Macaca mulatta: one gene and its partners. The protein of the gene in region 2 interacts with the protein of the main gene of each other region in a biochemical or structural test. Links are inferred from orthologs where the notes say so. Each region holds a gene or a part of one and is shown on either strand. Other genes may lie near its edges. The genes, in order: TBC1D2B, GABARAPL1 and STK3.

Evidence for each region.
Region 1: the proteins of GABARAPL1 (region 2) and TBC1D2B form a complex in vitro, tested with the Homo sapiens proteins (2 studies listed by BioGRID and IntAct). The link is inferred for Macaca mulatta from reciprocal best matches to the Homo sapiens genes GABARAPL1 and TBC1D2B.
Region 3: the proteins of GABARAPL1 (region 2) and STK3 form a complex in vitro, tested with the Homo sapiens proteins (2 studies listed by BioGRID and IntAct). The link is inferred for Macaca mulatta from reciprocal best matches to the Homo sapiens genes GABARAPL1 and STK3.

Annotation. Positions count from the first base shown.
Region 1 is NC_133412.1:56,157,010-56,160,662, forward strand, and holds part of TBC1D2B (TBC1 domain family member 2B), read right to left. Parts: intron 1,986-3,653; coding exon 1,491-1,985; intron 1-1,490. UniProt on the Homo sapiens protein: GTPase-activating protein that plays a role in the early steps of endocytosis.
Region 2 is NC_133416.1:10,339,694-10,344,083, forward strand, and holds the start of GABARAPL1 (gamma-aminobutyric acid receptor-associated protein-like 1), read right to left. Parts: upstream 2,855-4,390; 5' UTR 2,661-2,854; coding exon 2,571-2,660; intron 1-2,570. UniProt on the Homo sapiens protein: Ubiquitin-like modifier that increases cell-surface expression of kappa-type opioid receptor through facilitating anterograde intracellular trafficking of the receptor. Involved in formation of autophagosomal vacuoles.
Region 3 is NC_133413.1:108,839,421-108,842,090, reverse strand, and holds the end of STK3 (serine/threonine-protein kinase 3), read left to right. Parts: intron 1-1,404; coding exon 1,405-1,563; 3' UTR 1,564-2,041; downstream 2,042-2,670. UniProt on the Homo sapiens protein: Stress-activated, pro-apoptotic kinase which, following caspase-cleavage, enters the nucleus and induces chromatin condensation followed by internucleosomal DNA fragmentation.

The DNA of each region.
Region 1 (3,653 bases), on a different chromosome or scaffold from region 2:
CCTGGAGGTCAATACCTGGCATGGAGCAGAAGCAAAAAGGCCTGTGAGCAGCCAGAACAAATGTCAGTACTCAGAACTCCAGCTCATGCACGGCTTACAGAATTCCTAAGGTACACAGGCAGAGCTTTTCCATTCTTACTTTATCCGTATCTTTTTTTTTTTTTGAGACAGGGTCTCACTCTGTTGCCCAGGCTGGAGTATAGTGGTATGATCACAGCTCACTACAGCCTCAACCTCCTGGGCTCAAGCGATCCTCCCACCTCAACCTTCCAAGTAGCTGGGATTAGAGGCGCATGCCACCATGCCCAGCTAATTTTTTTTTTTTTTTTTGACGGAGTCTCCCTCTGTTGTTCAGGCTAGAGTGCAGTGGCACGATCTTGGCTCACTGCAACATCTGCCTCCCAGGTTCAAGCAAATCTCCTACCTCAGGCTCCCAAGTAGGTGGGATTACAGGCATGTGCCATTGTCTGGCTAAGTTTTGTATTTTTAGTAGAGACAGGGTCTCACCATGTTGGCCAGGCTGGTCCTGAACTCCTGACGTCAGGTGATCTGCCTGCCTCGACCTCCCAAAGTGCCGGGATTACAGGTGTGACCCACCGCACCCAGCTAATTTTTTTTGTATTTTTTGTAGGGATGGGGTTTCGCCATGTTGCCCAGGCTGGTTTCAAACTCCTGGACTCAAGCAATCCTTCCACCTTGGCCTCCCAAAGTGTTGGGATTACAGGTGTGAGCCACTGCACTGGACCTTTATCCTTTTTTTTTTACAAACTTGATTACCTACTTTCATAACACAGAAATATAAATGGACAACTGCCAGGACAGCAGTAAGCAGAAAGTGCACAAGCCATTAAGAAGCAGTCAGTGCAAAGTCCAGTGACAGGAAGAGCTTCGTGGGGAGCAAACCTCAGTCCTCCTGAGGTCTTGTCCCATCCCTACACAGCTCAGGAGGATGAGCCTGGATCACCAAGAAAATGTGAGAGGCTTTTCAGCGTCCTCTGCCTATGGAAGTAGGGAAGTATGCAAGACCTGTTAAAGGTTCTAGTTTAAAAGGAAACAAGTTTAAGTCCATGAAGGGCTAAGTTTCAATCAGCTGAATAATTGTCTGGGGCGACTTCTTGATTCACAAAAAGATCCTGTATACTGCATAAACAAGGGGTGGCCATCAATTTCCACTCCATGCATTACAAACTAATAAAATCAAACTTCTGATCAAAACCCAAGTGTGATGAGACTAGGAAAAAATGAGACTCCAGTAGTTTCAAATGAATTAAACTCTTGTGTTCTTAATACTTTCTGAAAGCATGTTTGTTTCTCTCAGTTCTTCTAGAACTGGGGACACTGTGTCATGATAACTGGCTTGCTGCAACTACTTTTTTCTTCTAAAATATTGACTTTTCTTGGCCAACCAGGAAGGGAGGGAGCTGCCAGGCAGTACCGGTGCCTACAAGTTGCCTAATGGCAAATGGGAACATTTTGTGCTGTGCCCCCACCTGTTTAGGCCTTGGCAGTAGCCGATGTCTGGATTCCGCCAGGAGAAGGCGAGGAGGACGTTGCGTAGCTTCTGTATGCCTTCTGAGGTGGGGCAGGAGTAATGTTTGTTGTTGGGCAGAGTTCGCAGCAAGTCCAGCTCAATCTGCTTGGAGGCCGGGTTCTGTTTCTCCAGCGCCTTCTGCAGCAATGTCTGGAAGTGGCCAGGCTCTGTGCTGTCCTTGAACTTCCTGGTGTGACGGTCCACACACCACTTCCATACCTTGGAACGGTGCTCATGGGGAATGCCCGCACGGATAAGGTTTTTTAATTCTGGAGAGCACATCATCTCCCTGTTGACTGTACTGGCAAAATAGTTTTCCCACTTGACCCCAGTGGAGACTTCCTGGTTTTCTGTGAGGTAGAGAGTCTTCAGATCCAACGCGCGGACCTTGGCGACCAACTTCTCTTCCTCGTCATCCTCAGGTACAGTCCTGAACCCATAAATATCATATTCACTGTTGATAAAAACAAAAGGAAAAGTTAAAATGACAAAGTTTTAGCAACAAAGACCAACGCAACAGAAAAAGAGAGTCTAGAAACCAAATTATGCACACGTGGTACTTTGAACTATGAGAAGCATTTCAGATCAGTGAGGATATAATCGACTTCTCAGTATATAAAGCTAGAATGACTATCTATATGGAAAAATTAAATTAGATCTCTACTTGATACTACATAGGGAAAAAACCAATTCCAAACAGTTTAACACTGAAAATATGAAAAGCATGGAAGAAAACGCAGGCAACAGCACAAAAACAAGACTGATAAATCTGGCTACATTAATGCGTGTGTATGTTTCTTTATCATATATGTACTACATATGTATAACTTTATGCTTAAAAATATCATTTTAAAAGATAAAAAAAAGAAGAATGTATTTATAAGCTATTAGGGATAAAGATGTTCACGTCCCAGTTCCTGGAACCTGTGGCTGTTTTACGTTACATGGCAATAGGAATGTTGTTAATGGAATGTTAATGCAGAATTTAAAACAAGGAGATTATCTGGGACATCTGGATGGGCCCAAATATCCTCATGAGCCCTTCAAAGTGGAAGAATCAGTCAGAGAAACGTCAGGCAGGAGAGATGGGAGGCGTGAGAGGCGCTGGACCTGCTGCTGTCGCCCCGAAGATGGGAAAAGGGGCCCCGGGCCAAAGAACGCAGGGGGCTCTAGAAGCCACCAACCACAGCTGACAACCAGCAAGAAAACAGCGACCTAGTCCTACAACTGACTGCAAGGAACTATATTCCACCAACAACTTAAATGAACAAGGAAATTAACTATCCCAGAACCTTCAGAAAAAATGCAGCCCTCAATTAAATCTGGATTTTAATCCAATGAGACCCATATTGGGCTACTGACCTTCAGAACTATTAAGTGACAAATTTGTGTTGTGTTGTTTTAAGCCACAATGTTTATAATTTGTTGTACCAGTAAAAGAAAACTACTACAAAGGCCTTTCACACACTGCTGCTGAGCGTAAACTTACTCAAGCACTTTGAAAATCAGATCTAGCAGAGTTAAAGGTATGTATTTTCTACACACCAGGAATTCCACTTCCAGTCTGCACCCTAGAGAAACTCTCTCACGTGGGCACATGGGAATATGGACCATGATGGTCCTTGCATCACTGTAACAAGGAAAAATGGAAAGATCTAAATGTCCTCCATGAGGGGAAGGAATAAAGACACCATGGTAGATTCATACAATGATGTTCTACAAAGAAGGTAAATATGCTCAGTCGTGTGCGTCTGTAGTCCCAGCTGTCTGGGAGGCTGATGTAGGAGAACTGCTTGAGCCCAGGAGGTCCAGGCCAGCCAGAGCAACAGAGTGAGACCCCATCTCTTAAAAAAAAAAAAAAAAAAAAGCTCAGGAGTTAACTTGTATCAACCTGGATAATTTCAGAAAATAATGTTGAAGGAAATAAGTTTCAAAATGATATGTATCTGGGATTAGTATGTATCCAGTCAGAAATACATACTGAAATGTTTACAGGTGGAATGACGTGATGTCCGGCATTTGCTTTAAAATATTCCAGAAAAAAAACTGGGGAGTCGGGAGGTAAAATGAAATAATATTGGCAAAACATTAACAAGTGCTCCAGTTAGTTGCACACAGGGGT
Region 2 (4,390 bases):
TGAAATAGGGTAATGTAAGCCAGGAATTAAAAGGAAAAGGCAGAAAGAGGCTAGCACTGTGCCCCAAAGGAACTCTGAGACCTAGCAGTAAGAGAGAAAAACCACAAAGGAAGACAGAAAAAGAAAGTGATAAAGCAGACCGCAATACCTGGAGGGAAGGCAGGGGTTTGGAGAGGAAGAAAAGGGGGAGGGGTAATTATTAAAGGATTGGTTTCCCAGAACCAAGGTTAAATTTCCAGGAATCCCAACTCTACTCCTCACTATGGTAGACCCTGGGCTAGATGCTTTGCCTCTTTGGGTCTCAGTTTTCCTCATTTGTAAAATGTGACTAATACTCAATAGAGCTATGAATTTTTAAAATAGACAATCTGTTTCTAGCAGTCTTTTTGATATGTTGTGTCTTTGAAGATAATTTCAAGATCCCACCAACCCCTCCTCTCTGAAGGCACAAGCATACCTCTTCAACTGTTAGCTCTGAAGAAATATTGGTGGGACTAAACTCTGGTTATGCGAGCAGTCAGGATACACCACTGCTTGAATAACACCAATGGTCAAGCTGGAATGGGCTTTAGGAACCACTACTCTAACCCTCTTTTCTGTAAACAAGGCACTCTATCTAGCACAGCAAGATTAAAAGTTCTGCCCAAGGATGCAGTGAATTCCCAGAACTAGAACCAAATCAAGGAACCTGCGTCATAACTAGAAAGAAGGTCACAGACTGAGCACCTTGGGAGCAGCTCAGCGCTGGTTAAAACATAACCCTAGGGAAGCTGAAATCTGAGTGACAGTCTTAATGGCTTAAAAATTATCACAGGAGTAAAACATTTAACACCAAACTATGAGCATGAAAAGAACAGAATGCACTGAAATATTCAGAATACACATAAGTATTTATCTATTTCCAATACTTAACAGTGTGAAGTCCACAGCACGTCATTAATTCTGGTTAATAACAACTATATTAGAAACTGAGAAACAGTATGACACGGAGGTTAAGGTCTCCGAGAGCTCCACAGTCCGTCAGACAGGGTTAGAATTCCGGCTCAAACACAGATCAGCAATGTGAAACCTTTAGGAAGTTACCGCATTTCTTTGTGCTTTGAATACTCCGTCTGTAGAACGGGGATTATAATCGTGTAAAGATTAAGCGAATGATTACAGACTGAGTACTTATACTGCTACTGTAAACTATTAGTAAAATATGACTGTATTTTTTAAATATCATTGCTCTAAAGATTGGTATCACCAGAACTCGGCAAAATTTTCAGGTATCCAAGGTCCAGAAACCAGCAAAGTATTTTGTAAAGGATCCTTTACCGAGTAAGGGATTAGCTCACCCCTCTATAAACTGAAAACCCTTTGGTAATTCCTGAGGAATGGAAGAGCCCTAATGACTTTTTTTTTTTTTTTAAAGGAAAAGGGGTACAAGAGGTTTCTACTGCTGGGCTAAGGCCCTGCTGGCTTCTGGTAGCTATAAAACCACGAACGTTAGGTAAGGATTAGAGAAGAAACCCAGAGTGGCTGCGAATCAAGATAAGACATCAGATAACAGCAATTATTTTACCATGATGTGACATGTAATCCTGATGTTCCTACCTGAAGATAAAGAGCACAATTTTAAAAATCTCTGCTCCTCCATTTCCAAAATCCAACAGCTGCTGGTCCCTTTACCACTTAAAAGTCATACTCTGCCCTCCAATTCGGCTGCGCAGCCCACATTAGAGAAACACCAGGCAAGGGACGGGGGAGGGGGTAATGGGGAAAACGCCCGGATGCTGAAAGACACCTAATGTTTCTTCTCTGTTCCTACTCACTACCTGCGCTAGTTTTAACTACTTAAGCCGGTGTCCAAAACACAGAAAAAACGTCTCAGTCCTGCCTTATCGCGTGCAGGTGCCAGGTGATCAGAAATCAATACCGGGGGAGGCTGGCTGTCCCTACACATTTCCCGGAGCCTAGAACGATGAGGCAAGAGGGCTGTTGCGCAGAGAACGTGACCTTGTTTTTCAGGCCCGGACTGTCTTGTGCTCCCCTACCCCCCTGTCATGCAAGAAAAGAACCGAATAGCTTCTGAACCTTTTCCTCCCAAGCCCAATGATATGACAGCCAAAGTCAACTTCATTAAAGGAGAACCAGCCAAGGCAGAAATCGACCGGGTTTGCGCAAACCTCACCGCACAGCACAGTGTCCCCGCGTTCTTAAAGGGAGCCAATCCACGGCCCTGATCTAACCACTCTCGCACACAGGGGCGCTATTTTGCGCACCTCAACCCACACAGGGTCTCAGTATTGCTGAGACCGTGTGGGTTGCTGAGTCACTGAAGATGGCAGCTCGGCCCCAAAAACACCGTCAGCCCTGAAGTGGGGTTCAGGCCCCAGGCATATGTGGTTTTAAAAGCTCCGCAGTCTGGACGTCCATTGGCTCGGGCACTGAAGGGCGTTCAGGATTAACTAATTATCGGCACCTCCCTTCCCCAGAGTCGCCTGGGCGCCCCAGGGAAGCCATCTCGACTCCCAGCCCCCGCCCCCGCGGGCCCTTCCCCTCCCATCCCCCCGCTCCTCTACACTCACGGGGACCCTGTCCGGATATTTCTTCCGGATCTTTTCTCCTTCCTTTTTCCGATACTCAAAGGGATGGTCCTCCTTGTACTGGAACTTCATGATGCACCGCAGGGCTTCCGAGATTCCCCGCGCGGGGCCTGCCTCCTTCGCTGCTGGCCCTGTCCAGCTCCCTCCGCCGACGTCAAGGTGTGCTCAAATAGCTACAGAAACGTCCGCTCCCGGGGCAACAGCGCTGGGCCGAGCGTGCAGAGGGGGTTCGGTGTGGGGGGGATCTCGGGTGAGCCTGCCCGGAGATAGAGGAGAGCCAGGTGGAGAAACACCGGCGGCTTTTCGCTGGAGCTGGGAGCACAAAAACAGTTGGGTGGCGCGTCGGGCTGTGACGTCACCCTGCGCGCCCCGCCCCGCCCCCCAGGCGCCGAGGGCAGGGGGCGGCCGAGTGCTGTCTTAACTGCGTTTCCTTTCTGGCTAACGTTTTTCAAAATCGATGTCATTGCAAACATCAAAACATTCTAGTTGTGTTTTATTTTGTGACTGTGAAAGACGGTTTTAAGACAAAAACAATTTTAAACATGTTTTATTCCCCCTCCACTGTTTTTCTTGGTTTGGCCCCAAAACAAATACAAAAGGCGAAAATCCTTTTCCTGCTGGTTGGGATCCAGCCTCAGGGGAAAAGAGGCCCAGGCCTCCTGGGATCCCTTTGGCCAATGCAGAGCTGTCCCGTGCTTGCACCGTGCCCTCTGCGCTTTCCGCTGCCCCTCCCGCGGCCCTCCTCCCGCGCTGGCGTCACAGTGTTTGGGCCGCGCCGCAGTTCGCTCCTGAACAGCAACATAAACAGAGCGTGACTCAGGAATCTGAAGAGAGGAGTCAGATGAAGGACGCGGAGTGTAATCAAGGTCCAAAGGAGACGTGATGTCAGTCAGGACTACGGAGGGCTTCACGTACAATCAAATACAGAAATGATTCACTTTCTAGCCGGACGCGGTGGCTCATGCCTGTAATCCCAGCACTTTGGGAGGCCGAGGCAGGGGGATCACCTGAAGTTAGGAGTTCGAGACCAGCCTGACCAACATGGAGAAACCCCGTCTCTACTAAAAATACAAAATTAGCTGGGCGTGGTGGCCCATGCCTGTAATCCCAGCTACTCTGGAGGCTGAGGCAGGAGAATCGCTCTAACCCGGGAAGCGGAGGTTGCGGTGAGCCAAGATCGCGGCATCGCACTACAGCCTGGGCGACAAGAGCGAAACACCGTCTTAAAGAAAAAGAAAAGAAAGAAAGAAGTGATTCACTTTCTGCCATTAACTCAGAAAGGAGGCTTGTCTTCTGGAAAAGAGAGTATCAAGCAATTTAGGTGATGACCTCAATTCTTCCCCCACATCTTATTTAGTTCCAGTGGTTAGGTATCCCTCACGTGGCTGGAAAGCGCTGCCTGGAATGCCAGTGGAAGATTGGGCATTGCGGCAGGTGCGGCGAAGCCTCGTTCTCGCTTTCCCCACCTAGAGTCAAAGAATAAAGACCTTCCAACCAGTACGGTAGGCAGCGACACGGAGGACCGTGGAGATTGCAAAGAAAAAGAAGAGTGAAAACGGGCTGCGTTGCCCATACAAGCCGGGTGAGTTCTGAGAAATATTAGACAACAGCAGCCCCATGGCCTATCTTCTTCAGTCGGGGTCTCAGTGTCTCTAATTTTAAAAACACCCACAAGGGGACAGGCGCGGTGGCTCACGTCTGTTCTCCCAGCACCTTGGGAGGCCCCGGCCGAGGATCGCTTGAGTTAAGGAGTTCAAGACCAGCTTGGGTAACAGGGCAAAACCCTGTCTCTACAAAAAATA
Region 3 (2,670 bases), on a different chromosome or scaffold from region 2:
TCTTGGGAAATGTGGTTGTGTGGTATACATTGGCCTTTCAGTATGGCCATTACTGATGTGTACAGTTCAAAGTTTGGAGTTTCCCTGTTTGTCTTATTCTGTATCCCCGCAGCAATTTGAACAGCACTGAGCATGTAACAGATGCATGATCACTACTTGGATTAAAAGTCAATGAAGAAAGTGTATAATAATACATATTATATATAAATGTATCTTTTATAGCATAATATTAAAAGCTAGGTTCTTTCATGACATATGACTACAAAGTAACAGGGCTGATTATTAATATACATACCAGAACTTCTTATGTACTGAAGTGAGTGGCATTCACCTTCAAAGTCATCATCATGGAAGCCTGCATACTCTTCTCCATATACTGTCATTTCTCAAAATATTTTTGGAACTCCTTTTTTGAATTTCCTTCAAAGAGTCTGTGACTCATTCTTTTCAGTATCCTCAGAGTCTTTTTCAGCTAAGAGTGAATTTGGTTTTTGGAAGCAGAAGTCACGATAGGGCCAGGGATGGCGAGTAAAAGGATCTGCTGGGACATGCTACTTTGGATGACTATAAGTAATGAGTATTTTTCTTCCTTGACTCATAAAATAACCAAAGACAGTTATCTTTTTAAAACAAAAAGTAAGTTGCAAGTTTTATCATTTTAAAACCAAGCCTTAGCTGGGTGCAGTGGCACATCCCAGCTACTGAGGAGGTCGAAGGAGGAGGATCTCTTGAGCCCAGAAGCTTGAGGCTAGCCTGGGCAACATAGTGGGATCTTGTCTCAAAAAAATAAAAAAGAAGAAGAAGGAGAAGGAGAAACAAAATCTGGATTACTCTTACATAACTGTCCTACTCCAGAATTGATCATGGCTTCCTACTTTTGGGGCCCCACCAGGCCTATTCAGCCTTACTTCCCACCCCCTACCACAGTCATCTTCTTTATTAAGCATTTGGTAAAATGGAGGATAGAATGGTTAATTTAACCTTTATTCAGTCTTGTCATGTTCTTGGGTGATCTCTGCAAGTGTTCATTATTATTGTAGCACTCGGTAGCTGGCAAAGATGTAAGAAGTTAGAGTGAATATACCTGGAACGTATTCTGAAAATCTGTTTGTTGGCGGGGGTGGATTTGTCTTTGTACCTTTTTACAAATTCTATCAGCATATTTTTCTCATTTGCCCTTTACTAAAGGCAGATGATCCGATTGTTTCATTGCAGATTACTTGAGGTTCTTGCAAGATATGACCTCTGGGTTCTTCAAGGAAGAAATTCCTGTTTTAATTGTTGAACCATACTTCGAAGATGATGTAAAGAATTTGCTGAAATATTTATGTTAAAACTCATTAGACATTAATGTGTTGTGGATAATTTCACTATATTGATATCTTTGTTTGTTTCCATATCTAGTTGAAAAATCTAAGTTTAGAAGAACTACAGATGCGATTAAAAGCACTGGACCCTATGATGGAACGGGAGATAGAAGAACTTCGTCAGAGATACACTGCGAAAAGACAGCCCATTCTGGATGCGATGGATGCAAAAAAAAGAAGGCAGCAAAACTTTTGAGTCTAATTTCCTGTCTGTTTTTAACTATTCTGGAGACCAAGAAACCACTAGGAATTGAAGGAATATTTGTATATTTTTAATCCTAAGATTTTGCCCTACAATTAGTCAGAGGTCAAAAACTGACAATGGTACATGCCCAGGTAAATTCCCAAAAGGCAGAATTGACAGTTGTATCTGCTGTGCATTCACTTTCAGATGAGGAGAACAAAAGAAGTGTATTCTCTTGTTCTGTCAGCTGCATACCAGCAATAAAACTGTGTTTTGAAACGGAGGCTGCGTTTAGAGACCTTGAAAATCCAAAGCTATTGTTTAATTGTGCAGCACTGAAGGGCTTTATGTTACAATATTCTTTATTCCTATCTAGTATACTAGTCTATTTATTGTATCCCCTTAGGTAAACTTATTTATTTATGCTATTTTGCTTTGTTTTGTTTTTTAAGGACAAGATCAGGATAGCTTTGGTGAAGATAGGGTCATATTAATATGATGATAATGTGCAACCAAATTATACTTTCTGCAGGGAGCTATGGGGTACATTCCTTGATTTCCAGGATAGTTTTCCAGTAGGAAAGTAATAATGGCAATAGTTCTCAAATGGGCTAGGCCTTTTTTATATCGAAGCAATAATTCCATTTTTACCCTTTGAAATTTTGTTTAATTTTTTGATTTTTGATGTTTGGTACAAATAGAACTATATATATTTAGGTAAAATAGATCTATCGTGTTTAAAACCAAAGAAATCAGTGGAATCCTTGCACAAAAAAGTATGATAAATATTTTTTAAAAAAAACTTAATACAAATGTAACTTGTTAATATTGTTTTATGTTTTATGTGTAGATCTAATAGCTGAACTGATTCAAACTGTAATAAGCTCATCAATTTCATTTCTATGAAAATGTGCTCTATTGTCACAGGATGTTTCTGTTGATTTTATTCATTTCCTGGGAATTGGTAAACATCATGTGCCTGATGATAACCCAGTAGCAAAAACATTTGTACTGAGTGGTACAAGCCTTGGGGACTGAAAAAAAATTAAAAAAAAAAAGATTAAAACCATTAAAAAGAAATTCATTTTTACGCCGAATGAACATTTGTATGATTGCATT